2 linked regions of the Kluyveromyces lactis genome follow. The protein of the gene in region 1 purifies or fractionates together with the protein of each later gene. This does not show direct contact. Links are inferred from orthologs where the notes say so. Each region holds a gene or a part of one and is shown in the gene's direction. Other genes may lie near its edges.

Region 1 (8,854 bases):
TTGGCAACACGATAATATATGTTCGAAATCACCAGTGATGGAAAGGAAGGAAGAACAGACAGTTTAACGGAAATCAGTCTTACCAACACCACGCTTACCTGAGAACAAATGTTTTGGTAGAGAGGCAGTAGCATGTCTGTCAGATTCACCGGCTCTGGCCATTCTGTTTCTTTCTCTTCTTTCTAATTTGGCCATTCTTTCAGCCTTCGATCTCATTGAACCATCAGCAACACCGTCTGTCAATCTATCTGTCTGTCTTAGCTTACCAGCTGGAGCAGAATCTTCTTGATCACCGTATACCACGTCAGCACCAGTTTGCTCATATCTGTTCTTTTCAGCAGCGACTCTTTGCTTATCTTGCAAAGCAGTCATATCGTGACCTAAAGAAGACATGTGCTTCTCCATGTCACCATATGTCTTTGCCAATTTAGAACGAGGCATGGTACCACGGTTCTTCAATGCCTTTCTGTTTCTTGAAGCATTGATCATCTTCTTTTGTCTATCTCTAATCCATTCTGCCTTTTCTCTGATCTCAGAGATTTCGTCAGCATCAAATCCTTCGTAAGTTTCTTCTTCGTCGGATTCATAGAAGCCTTCAGATTCTAATCTTTCTTCTTCTTCCTCTAAAGCTTGTAATTTGATTGCGATTTCTGGATCCAAGAAGTCATAAACGTTCTTACCATCTAAGATTTCTGGCATGACATCGTTCTTCCATTCATCGTCTTCCAATAGATACTTGTCCTTCAAATTAACGTTGTATACACCGGCCCCACCGTTTTCGATTTCAATTTCTTTAGCCAATTTTCTTCTGTTTGGATCTTCTGGATCATATTTCTTCATCTTAGCGATGGCTTCTGGAATATATGGAGTTCTGTCAATACCATCATCACGCTTTTGAGGTTGAGCGACGTGGATCTTGTTTAAGACGTTAGTGATTCTAGCTTGAGATTTTAGCTTGTTTTCAATTCTGGAAGCCAACAACTTTTCACAAGCCTTGTTTCTAACAGCCATAACGTTATCTTCTTCATGACAAGAAGTGGTCATGATTTCAACACCTGGAACTTCCAAAACAGTATCCAAAAGTTTCTTACGTTCTTCGTCTAAATCTTCAGGTTTAATGATATCAGTCTTGTTAATGACGACCATGACGGATTTATTGGCAAACAATGGTTTGATCGAATGGAATAATTTGACTTGAGCTTCAATAGAGAAACCACACTGTTCTGATAGATCCATGAAGTACATAACAGTAGAACGCAAATGAGCAATAGCATAAATGGATTGCATTTCGACGTTGTTCATTTCATCCGTAGGTCTATCCAAGATACCTGGAGTATCAATCGCTTGGAATCTCAAGTATTTATAATCAAAATGACCCACATATAGCGACTTGGTGGTGAAAGCATAAGGTTGCACTTCGACATCAGCCTTAGTGATACATCTCAAGAAAGAGGATTTACCCACATTTGGATAACCGCAAATCAACAAAGTTCTGGTGTTTGGGTCGATGGATGGCATTCTACCCAAATGTTGTCTAACTTGTTCCAAATACACTAAAGGATCCTTCAACTTCTTCACAATGGTAGCCATTCTACCAAGAGCGGCTCTCTTCAATTGTTTACATTGGAAAAGAGATTGACCGAATTTTAACAATCTTGTGTAATCTCTTTCAACTTGTTCGACCAATGTCTTAGCACGACTCACAGCAGCCAAAGAAACTTTGAAATGATTCTTTTCATACAAAGTATCCATCAAATCCCTATGGAAAGGATGCACGTCGTTAATATTAGGGAAACCTTTCAAAATATCATCAAATTTTTCCACGAACCCTTCACCGGTGAACTTCACCTTTCTCATGTAAAACGCTCTGATACGAGTGATATTGAAACCTGGTCTAATAACAGTAGGTGTCTTTCTTTGAGTTCTGTTCAACACAATGTCCAACAAGTCATTGGCAGGAGCCACGGTCGGAATATCTTTCCAGGATAATTGCATTGTTGCTTAATTGATTTGACGTAAACTTTGGGATACACGCACACACGGGGACAACAAAAAACAATTAAACTAGCAATAATGCAGTTAAGCTATGCTTAGTTGTTTGAACAAACTTCCAATCTATTCAAACTACCTGTCAAACGGATGTCACACTGATAATCAAGCTCTGTCTATCACTTCGAATGCACAATGAGATGAGATGAGATGAGATGAGCTTGCCGTTTGGAAAATTTTCCCACTACTGCAAACCTTTGAAAAGAAAAAAAAAATTGTGCTTTCAGGATTTCTTTTTCGTATGGATCTCAGAATTGACCGTTAAAGGCATACACATTGGTTATGTCACGTGACTAAAGCACTTTCTTTTGAGACTGTCGGGGTAACAATATATTTTACTGTTAAAATGTATGTGAACATTTTATTTACGGTTTACGTTTCAACTTTCAATATATACAGAAATATCAATGAGATTTTGATCTGAAAGAATACAGCTTGAGTCCAATCTCTAGATTCATTATAACTTTCTAATCACTACCTGATAATTGCCTAATTTCCGGTAGAATTGCCTTATCCGCCTTTTTTTTTTGAATTTTTCTCTTCAAATATAGATTTGTTTCGTTACTATGTCGGAACCAAGCCCACAATCTACGATAGCCATTGCCAATCTACTCAGGACTCATAGCGACTTGAAGCAAAGACAAGGATTGTTCCAATCGCGTTTAGTTGACTTCTTCCGTTATAAAAGATTTGTTAGAGCTTTGAAAAGTGATAAATATAAGGCAAAGTCCAAAAAACAACCCGAATTGTACCCCGCTGTGACAAGCGATGAAGATGCTCGTAACATTTTTGTTTCCTTAATCAAGGCCCAATTTGTCGTACCAGCGGTTAAATTACATTCTGCAGAATGTAAAGAACATGGTCTAAAGCCAAACAAATCATATCCAAACTTATTATTATCGAATAAAGCGACTCTACAACCAGATGAATATTACGTCTGGTCTTATAATCCAAAATCAATTTATGATTACTTGACTGTGATCGGTATCATAGTCGGTGTGCTAGCATTCGTGTGTTACCCATTATGGCCTCCATATATGAAACGTGGTACTTACTACTTATCCATTGCAGCATTGGCACTTATCGGTGTATTCTTTGGTATTGCAATTGTGAGATTGATAGTTTACTTGTTGTCATTAGCTGCAGTTAGCGAGAAGGGTGGGTTCTGGCTCTTCCCAAACTTGTTCGAAGATTGCGGTGTTATAGAAAGTTTCAAACCGCTATATGGATTTGGTGAAAAGGAATGCTATAGCTTCCTGAAGAAAGAAAAGAGAAAGCATAGATCAGTTGCAAAGAAGCAAAAATAACTTCAATGTAACGGACTTCCATCCCAGACTGTACATTAGCAATTTAACTATCACAGAAGGTGTATGTTCATTCTTTCGGTGAGAATCACATACTAATATCACATATAAACATACAAACATATATAAATATAGATATATGTACTCATACTAATATCAGTAGTGACATCTTTGGTTTCTGACACTAGAAATCACCTTCTTTTAAAGTTTTATTTTGCATGAATTGATTTAAGGTCAAGTAAGAAAATGAAAAACGCAGCAACAGTAATGAAAACAGTAATGAAAGCAGAAGTTGCAAACAGTTAGAAAAATAATGCCAACAGGATACCACTCGCTTCCAATCCTAGTATAGGTATTATAACTGAGCGAACGGCCGCACCACAATATTACAAACTTCTGCAACATGTCACAGAAGGAAATATCGCAGAATTCTAATAGAAGAAGCTCTAAATATGAAGATGAGTTGAGCAACGATGCCCCGTTTGAAATTTCATCACATCAGTTGGAGTCAAGTACAACTTTAACAGATGTTCAAATGAGTAACCTTCTACAAAGGCATTCTTCTCATCGTCGTGATAGGTCGAGAGATCATATGTTTTATTCTCATTTGACACAACAATCATACTCTCTCAACAGAAACAGTCTTCTCGATTCCATTACCGTGGTCAGGCCTTTGATCAACGATTTGATCACTGAAAATAATCAAAGAGCCATCTATATTCCAGAGCATTCTGAATCTTTGGACGTATTGGAACTTAAAGTCAAACTAGATGGTAGGGAGAATATGCAACTTGATAAGAGTGCTTTGGCGCAGTTATTCAAAACACAAGCGTTATCTGCGATTGACCATTTGATTAATTTACAAACTCGTGTACAGGATACTTCTTCAAAAGTTTTCATAACAGGCGATTTGAACTCAGGAAAATCTACGTTATGTAACGCATTTTTGAGAAAGAAGGTTTTGCCTGAGGATCAATTGCCTTGTACCAATGTATTCTGTGAAATTTTAGAAGCGAGAGAGAACGGAAATATGGAAAGAGTCCATGCCATTCCCAAGACCGTGGCAACTAACGTTAAGGATGCATCCGTATTATACGACATGAGAGACAGATCGACTTATGAAGATTATACTCTCGATAAGCTAGATCAATTGGTTTATGATAATGATCACTATATCTTGTTGAAGATATATATTAAAGATGATAAAAGGCCGGTTGACTCTAGTTTGTTGAGAAACGGAACTGCAGATATATCTCTTATTGACTCTCCTGGGCTTAATATGGATTCAGTGAAAACAACTGAAGTGATGTCTAGGCAAGAAGAGATTGATCTTGTAGTATTTGTCGTCAATGCCGAAAATCAATTAACATTATCTGCTAGAGAATTCATTACTATGGCTTCAAGGGAGAAGAAATTAATGTTCTTCGTGATCAACAAGTTTGATCATATCAAGGACAAAGACAGATGCAAGAAGCTGATTCTAGATCAGATCAAGGAAATTTCTCCAGAAACTTATAAGCAGAATAGTGAATTTGTACACTTTGTTACCAGTCATGGTAAAATACCCCATGAAGGCGAAAATCGCCCTGATGGAGGAGATGACCCAAATGGAGACATGCCAAACCCTCCAAAAGAAGATCCTGATTTCGATAAATTAGAGGACAATTTGCGTAATTTCGTCTTCAAGAAAAGATCACTCTCGAAACTTTTACCAGCAAAAACTTATCTAATAAAGCTATTGAAGGATCTTGAAAGGATATCACAATGTAATCTTGAAAAATATAAAGAGGAAGACTATCATTTGAATGCCCTTCTAATTGATTTGCAACCGGAACTCCACGATGTTACCAATCGCTGTTCTGAGCTTATCGAATCAATTGATAAAATTTGCGAATTTACCACAAAGGAAGTATATGGATACACAAAAATGCAAATTAACAAAGCGTTAATACTAAAGCCTGCTGAATTCCCTCCATATTCTGGTCTTTCTGGCATTTATGACTATGTTCAACGAGTTAGAACTTTCATCGTGGACCAAATTTTAGCCAGCGTACAAGTCAGTGAAGCATATGCTAAGAACAGCGCAGAACAATCAGTTTCTCAAATAAACGCATTAGCGAAGGAACAACTAGGTGATGAATTTATGGCGGGCAAGGTTTTCAAGAGTGGTTTGATGTTCACCAAGAAAAAGCATAATTTAAGCAAAAAATTGAATATTCCATTAGAATTGCATAACTTTTTGGATCCATCTGTTGAAGGATTTATCTCTTACCTATCCTGGGGTCTCGTTAAACCAACACCGAAAATTACTAACGAAGAGAATACTTTGACTACCAAAAGCTCATGGTCGCAATCCCTTGCATTAACATCATATTCTGTTTCACAGTATTGGACCAACCCATCGTTAATCTTTACTTCAAAGATCCCAACATTACTGGTCTATTCCTTTGGGGGTTCTAAAATGATAACAAATATCGTGCTTCATGGCTCAAGGTTTTTCTCTTTAGAATCCTTGAAAAAATTGTCTGGATCGTTGATACTGCTAGGGGGAGTCTTAGGAATAGCCTATTTAATTCACGACTTACCAAGAGCGCTACCGATGAAGTTATCCTTGAAATATAAGCTACGATTACAAGAAATCGATTATGCGCATAATAACGCTGACCGTATCTCGAAAGAAGTATCACAGGTGTTCAAATACCCAACCAGAGAAGTGGTAAAAGCGTGTGAGTTAATTGTTGATAAAAAGACTTCCCAAAAGAAAGAAGTAGAATGCAAAGTAAGGGATAACGCAATGAGTATTGAATTTTTCCAGGCGTTATTATCCAAGTCACAGAAACAGAGAGGTACTGTGGAATCGATCAATTTGGAAGTAGATTGATTAAATGGATCTATGGGCATTACAGGACCCTAAAGAACAGAATCATTCTTCTATCTGAAACCATATATAATTATTCCCATATGATAGTTTTTCATGTAAATATTTCATTACTGCTGCGGATCCGAACCAACTAAACATATTTACAACCTTACTTTCGGTCCCCTTTCCCCTCCATGGCTCATGCGAGACCCTTCGTTCATAACCTCCGGATCCTTCGGCTGATATTTTTACGGTCCGAAAATCAAACACCTGTAGCATCACCAGAACCCATTTCAAATGCGAAATATATAAAGATGGAAACAGAATCAAGGAACGAGCCACAGATATTCTGACTTATTTTATTTATCTTCATAAAATTGGTTATATACTTTGGTAATATTTTTCGTCTACCCTATTTGTGTACTGACACAACGACGTTGTCTCTTATCTAATAAACGTTGACAATAATGGTGAACTTATTATTCAACCCACTGCACTGGGGTTACAATGGTACTGTAACTCAACATATCGGTGAAAAAGGAACAATCAAGTTGCAAAAGAAAGATGGATCCGAGGCTCAATTGCATGAATTAATCTCCGAAGAGGTTACTGGATTGAGCGATGGCAGCAAATTTCAATTAAGTCCACTAATCTTTACTGGTATTTTACAAACCATGTATTTGGCAGGTGGTGATTTCAGCAAGAAATTCAATGTATTTTACGGTAGAGAACTGTTTGAGATGTCTGATCATGGGATTGCCAGTATTGATTGGGTTAGAAATGACTGGAAGAAACTGTACGAACTAGACCCTGCCACCGGTACATACAATAAAGAGAAACTAGCTGAGGATGGTAAAAAGACACATCCTGAAGGCTGGCCTCGTTTGCATCCACGTACTAGATACATGGATGACGAAGAAAAAGAGTCTGTTTTGAACGATACAAGTAAGCCATTGATCATTGTTATGCATGGTTTGGCTGGTGGTAGCCATGAACCAATCATCAGATCATTAACGGAGCAACTTTCAAATATCTCTAATGAGAAGTTTAAAGTGGCCGTGTTGAACACCAGAGGTTGTGCACGTACAAAAGTTGTATCACCGAAATTGTTCTATGCGTTTGCAACAGAAGATCTGCGTGAGTTTGTGCAAAGAGAACACAAGCGTGATCCAAAGAGAAAGATTTATGCTGTTGGGTTTTCATTCGGTGCAACAATGTTGGCTAATTTCCTGGGAGAAGAAGGAGAAAAGTGTCTTTTATCAGGTGCTGCATTAGTATGTAATCCTTGGGACTTGACTAATTCTGCCCATAAAATGAGGGAAGACTTCTGGTCTAGTCGTTTGTTCGCAAAGAGTATCACTCAATTTTTAGTAAGAACACTGGAAGTTAACATGAATCAAATCGAATGGAAGGGCGGTGAGAAGCCTGCTGAGATTTCGCCAGAACACTATTCGAATTATTCTTTCACACGTGAAAACTTGAAAAAAGCTAAGCAGTTCACTGATCCAAGTCAGTTTGATGACATTTTTACAGCAAAGGCTGTTGGATTCGAAGACTCCTGGTCTTATTACCGTGTCGGAAGCTCTATTAACCGTCTACCAACTATAAATGTTCCAACTCTAGTCATCAATTCCAAAGATGACCCAGTCATAGGTGATAAATGTATTCCAGTGAAGGAAGCTGAGGAAAATCCTCATGTTTTACTGATCGAAACAGATTTAGGTGGCCATTTAGCTTACTTGGAGAAAAACCATGACTCTTGGGCAACAAAGCAGGTTGCCCAATATTTTGATGCTCTTGAATCATTAGTCAAATAAAGTAATGTCAATGTTTAAAACATTTGTACACAAGATACTATTCATATATAAGTTCAATATTATACATAACTGAAGTTAAAAGCAAACATGCTGGTTACTCATGAACCATCTTCTCCTCTTTGCTGCTTCCAGGCTGTAGAACCACTTTCTCTACCTTTTGTACCTGTCAATGTAGTCGTCGATGTATCTTTCGATGGCTTTGTCTTCTCCAATGATAATCGCTCTTGTTCATCTCGGCACGCCAGAGCGTATATTTGATCATCATTGAAATCTTTTCTCAATGTCTTAGTTAGGTAAGTACACATAAAATTCAGTTCGTTCTCAGATATGGCATTACGAGGTAGGTTATTTTGTAGGATATATCTGCCACTAACATCTGCTACAATGTCATTACTGAAAGCCAAAACATAACTCATCTTCTTGTTCCAATTCTTCGAGTAAATATGAGGCTCATCAAAACTTTGTTCGCAGCAATCTAAATGAACCCATCTTTTTAAATTGGGTGAATAGTACTCGCACCATACATGATCCTCTTTGTTCCAAATATATCTTGCGTTTAACCCGAACGATTTCAAAATCAAGGTGAACACATTACACCATTCTCCACACCTTCCTGTTCTTGTCTGAAGTAACTTTATCGGATCATTATAACGCGGAAATCTTGTGATATCACCAGTAAGGGTGCAGCGGTATACTTCGACGTTCCCACATTGATATTTGGCTTCCTCACTGTTTGCTCTATCTGTACCCACCCATTCGAGATGTTCGTCAGTGCCACATTTGGAACAATTAGGTTTGTTACACCATGAGAAGAAATCTCTTTT
Region 2 (5,336 bases), on another chromosome or scaffold:
GCTTCCATTCGGCATCATCAAGCTAATAATAATAAGATACAATTTGTAATTAAATGATAGGTAAAAAAGACAGATTCTGACAGTTTATTGTCAGCAATGGATAGGAAACATGTACGATAAAGGTAGGTGGTATCTACCTGTTGATTTGAAATTTTTAATGATTTTATTCGAGATATCAATAAAGAAGAGCGGATTGATTTAGAAATCCGCTAATGTTAATATTACACTAGTCAATAATCTAAGTGGTGTGTTCTCATTTTAAAATTTCCGTGAGTTAAAAGAAAAGATGAAAGGAGGAGTAACAGAGAGACCACAGTAAGAGATAGGAGGTTTGGGTTGGAATAAATGATGGTGAATGTAGTCAAAAGGAATAAGTAGGGTAAAGGACAGGAAGGGGTGGAATATATTTCAACAGAAAGACAATTTTTCAAGGAAGAAAATAATAGAGTGGTGATAAAGGGTATAATTGATTTAAATAACACAAAAATAACCGATTTGAACTGAATTATTAAGGGTAGACAGAAGTATCAAAGGAAGGTAGTAAAATACAACACACGCATTAAGAAGTTAGGTGAATCGATATTCACAGGAGGTAAAAAAATAAAGTGATTCGAAATTTGATTAACTTTATTTCTTGGACTTCTTAACGGCAGTCTTCTTAGCAGGAGCCTTCTTGGTAGCTGCTTTCTTAGCAGTGGTCTTCTTTGAAGACTCCTTCTTGACGACCTTACCAGCAGAAGCCTTTTTTGAACTAGTAGAGCTCTTCTTGGTGGTGGCAGCTGGCTTCTTGGTAGTAGAAGATTTCTTAACAGCAGAAGGAGCTGCCTTCTTGGACTCAGCCTTTGGTTTTTTCACCAATTTGATAGAACCAGCAGGTCCCTTTGGTTGAGAGAAGAACTCAGTCTCCAACCCTCTCTTGGACAGCCAGGTTGAATTGGGTGTCGAAGTTTTCACCAACTGGGTATTTTTCCTTGATGAAAGACTTCAAAGCTTGCCTAGAAGAACCACCACGTTCAGCTAGAGCAACAATAGCTTCAGTAATCAATTCTGCACAAAAGAAAAAGGAACTCACACGCATGCGACGAGAGAATGTGATGCATAAGTTAGTAAAGTGAATTAACATTTCATAATGGAAGCTTAACCAATGATAGATTGTAATTTCAAATGAACAACAATAATGTGTGCAGCCAGAAAAAAAATCAATGAAGAAAAACAAACATTACAATTTTGAAGGGGTGACAAAGCATGGTCTGCTACACTGGTAGTTCATAGTATCAACAATCAACAATCTAACTAAAGCTAGGCTCCCAGTCTCAGAGCAAAGCACAGTGACGGAAAAACGAAGGAAAAAAAATAAAGTCACATACCCTTATACTTTGGCAAAGCTCCTGATTTTGAAGCGGCCTTGGATTTTGGGGACACAGCGGTCGATTTCTTAGTAGTCTTAACAACTTTGGCAGCCATTTCTGATAGTATTGTATAATGGTAGAGGAATAGGACAGTTACTTATAATATGACTGGATGCTAAAATCTTTCTTTCAATATTAAATCACAATAATATTTTTTTGCTCTCTTAACTTTTGTTTATAATTGCAGATAACGTCTCAATTTGCGGCCAGAAAAACTTCTAAATTTCACTCAATCAAACTTTGGTAACAAATAAACAGAATAGCTCAAACAATAGGGTTCAAACGATGATATATAGCTCTCTCTTTCTCTTTAAAACTTCTTAACTGTTGTTGTTGTAAATAACATGGAATGTATCTCTAAGGCTTTTTTGTTTGTTTTTTTTATATTTCCATTCAGTTCGTGTTTTGTTTTGTTTTGATTTTTCGACTCTTTTTTATTGTCTATCTGTGGGATGTGTAAAAAACTACCGATCAAAAAATAAGACGCGAATTTTTGGGTCTACTATGCACTGCACAGAGTCTAAAGAGAAAAGAAGTATCTGGGGGAGGGAAACGATAGCATTCCTTTTTCCTTTTTTTCTGTAACGTTATTTCTGACGCTTTCGCAATAATTTAGTGCTACAATTGTGTTGTGCTGTGTATGGTTAGTTAATGCATGTGTACTATAGGTTGAACAACGGTGTAGTCTTCGCTGTTTAGGGGTTAGCTTTATCATTCAATAAGAAAGCTCCCTTTTATGGGCTTATTAAGAGATGCTGAAAGTTTCGCACCTGGTCTGAACTGGAATCTTTTACCATATTACCCGGACAAACGACTGCCTCTCAATGATACATGAAAAATAGACATATATTCTAATCATGTGATTTAGAAATAGAAAAAACATCCAGCGGTGGTTACCCGGAAATGAGAATGTTCTACTTCTCTTTTCTCTGTGATGAGATGGTTTTATTATTACATATTGAAATAATAGCATATATAACAGGGAAGAAACCAGAAGATGCCCTGACGTTTTATTGTCCGTCTCTGAAGTATTACTACACACTGTATACATCAATCAAGAGTTCAACAAAGATCCAAATATATGTTTGCTAACCAGTGCCGCAGGGTGCTGTTCAGACAGCTATGGATGGGTCCAGCCAGGACAGGTGCGTTGCGATTTATGGTTAGACCATCGATAATGTCAAATGTTACTAATGATATGAAGGGTCCTTTTGCCTTGACTAACAAGAGGTTCGCATCGTTTTTCCCCAGTATGATAGGCAAGATGGTTCGTATTCCGGCTTACGTTGGGGGTGGTGCCGCTGCGTTTGGTTCATACGTTGCTTATAAAGTGAACGAAGCCGGACAATTTACACAGGATCAACTATCCAAATTCAAAGATTTCACGGGAGATGTCAAGGATAAATTGGGTGATTGGTTTCAGAGAGATGGACAGTCGGACGATGGAGGAAACAGTGGTGACAATAACGGGTCGGATGCCGTTGCAGCAGCTACTCTCCTGGCTTCATTATCAGATGATGAAAATGATGATGAAGGGAAGACATTGAAGAATCAGCACGATGAAGAGGAATCGGCAGATGGAAAACGTCGTAAAAAGAATGGAAACGATGAAGATGAGGAAGATGATGACTTGGAAGAGGCTGAGGACAACACGCAGGATGAAATGTTAAATTTAACAAAGCAAATGATCGAAATCAGATCAATCTTGAATAAAGTGGATTCTACTTCAGCCAATCTAGCTTTACCATCTATTGTTGTCATAGGGTCTCAGTCAAGTGGTAAATCATCTGTCTTGGAATCCATTGTCGGCAAAGACTTTTTACCAAAGGGTACTAATATGGTTACTAGAAGACCAATTGAATTGACCCTAGTGAACACTCCAACATCTCAAGAAGTTACTGCAGATTTCCCCACTATGAGAATATATAATTTGAAGGATTTCAAAGAAGTTAAAAGAATTTTAACGGAAATGAACATGGCTGTGCCTAGCACTGAAGCTGTCTCAGATGACCCTATCCAGCTCACAATCAAATCTTCGAGAGTTCCAGATTTGTCCTTAGTTGATTTACCTGGTTACATTCAAGTGGAAGCTGTTGATCAGCCCATAGAACTTAAATCTAAGATTCGTCAGCTATGTGACAAATATCTCGAAGAACCAAACATCATTTTGGCTATCTCAGCCGCAGACGTTGATCTTGCAAATAGTGCTGCTCTTCGTGCATCTAAAGTAGCTGATCCTCAAGGTCTAAGAACCATAGGTGTTGTCACTAAATTGGATCTTGTGGATGCTAAGACTGCTCGAGCTATCCTTAATAACAGAAAGTACCCTCTAAAAATGGGATATGTCGGTGTCATCACAAAGAGTCCAAGTACGACTCCAGTGCAGAGATTATTCGACAACAGATCTTCTGGAAGTCATTTGTTTTCAAAAAAGAAAACAGACCCAACAGAGACTACAGCTATAACTCAAACAAAGCAGTTTGAGAACGAATTTTTCAAAGAACACAAGAAGGATTTCACTGCGTGCCAAGTGAGTACGAAAAAATTAAGAGAGAAATTGATCAAAATCTTAGAGGTTTCTATGAGCAATGCTCTTGAACCTACTTCCCGTTTGATTCAACAGGAATTAGATGACGCGGCATATCTTTTCAAGGTGGAGTTCAACGATCGTCAACTAACTCCAAAGTCATATTTATTGAACAACATCGACGTTCTTAAAGTTGCAATCAAAGAATTCCAAGAAAAGTTTGGTAGAAACGATCTGAAATCAATTCTCAAAGCCGATTTGGATCAAAAAGTTTTGGACTTACTTGCTGCCAGATATTGGAAAGATTTGAACTTACCAGAGCTTTCAACATCTCAAGACCTTGAAGATGAATCCTCTGCATTGTATTGGCATAGAAAGTTAGAACTTGCACAATCTAGTTTGACCAAAATTGGTGTAGGTAGATTGTCCACTAGTCTTGTTACGAATGCCATTATTCAAGAATTAAACAACATTTTGAATCAGTCACAGTTGAGAAACCATGATTTGATAAAGGAGCTTGTTACAAACACTGCTGTCAACGTTTTAAATTCCAAATATTACTCCACGGCGGACCAAGTTGAAAACTGTATCAAACCATTCAAATACGAGATTGATTTGGAAGATAGAGATTGGTCCTTGGCTCAAGAACACTCGGTTCTACTTATTAAAGAAGAATTACGCCAATGTAACGATAGATTCAATATGATTAAAAACGCTGTTGGAAACAGAAAGCTAAATCAAGTTATTCAATTCTTGAAACAGGATCCAAATAGAAAGGAGACTCTTGGATTCTCTGCCCTACTGCTTGAAAGGGGCCATGAAGCGATGTTCCTACAAGATAGATCTTCATTATTAAATTTCAGACTCAAGTTCTTGAAGAACAAATGTTTCTCCGTGACTCAGAAAGATAAATGCCCAGAGGTATTTTTGAACGCAGTAAGCGATAAACTAACATCAACCGCAGTATTATTTCTAAATGTTGAGTTGTTAAGTGACTTCTTTTACAATTTCCCAATTGAATTGGATAAGAAACTAAGTTTATTATCTGATGAACAAGTCGAGATGTTCGCTAAAGAGGACGTCAGAATTGCTAGACATATTGAATTACAAAAACGTAAAGAATTATTGGAACTCGCTTTGGAGAAAATAGATTCTATTCTTATGTTCAGAAAATCCTATAAGGGACTGTCGAAAAGAAACCTATAATGATCACTGTATCCTATACAACCGCTTCTGGAACACTTTATAATGACTACTATTTACGAGATCACTGTATATAAACAAAACTTAATCTTAATATGTTTCTACATGGAAATATGCCAACATCTTATGTAAGGCTTCCCGTCTTTAAATAATTAATGAACTTTTTAAAATCCCAACATACCAAATTTATAAAATCA

The links. The genes of interacting proteins can lie anywhere in the genome.
Region 2: the proteins of FZO1 (region 1) and MGM1 purify together in Saccharomyces cerevisiae (affinity purification with western blotting; 3 studies listed by BioGRID, with this or other methods). This does not show direct contact. The link is inferred for Kluyveromyces lactis from reciprocal best matches to the Saccharomyces cerevisiae genes FZO1 and MGM1.

What each region holds. Positions count from the first base shown.
Region 1 is NC_006041.1:2,150,696-2,159,549, forward strand, and holds FZO1 (mitofusin), read left to right. Parts: upstream 1-3,756; coding exon 3,757-6,234; downstream 6,235-8,854. Other genes in the region: putative GTPase NOG1, read right to left, coding at 64-1,995; Sec63 complex subunit SEC62, read left to right, coding at 2,616-3,356; EEB1 (medium-chain fatty acid ethyl ester synthase/esterase), read left to right, coding at 6,681-8,030; PNG1 (peptide-N4-(N-acetyl-beta-glucosaminyl)asparagine amidase), read right to left, coding at 8,129-8,854. UniProt on the Saccharomyces cerevisiae protein: Essential transmembrane GTPase, which mediates mitochondrial fusion.
Region 2 is NC_006040.1:577,878-583,213, reverse strand, and holds MGM1 (dynamin-related GTPase MGM1), read left to right. Parts: upstream 1-2,490; coding exon 2,491-5,142; downstream 5,143-5,336. UniProt on the Saccharomyces cerevisiae protein: Dynamin-related GTPase that is essential for normal mitochondrial morphology by mediating fusion of the mitochondrial inner membranes, regulating cristae morphology and maintaining respiratory chain function.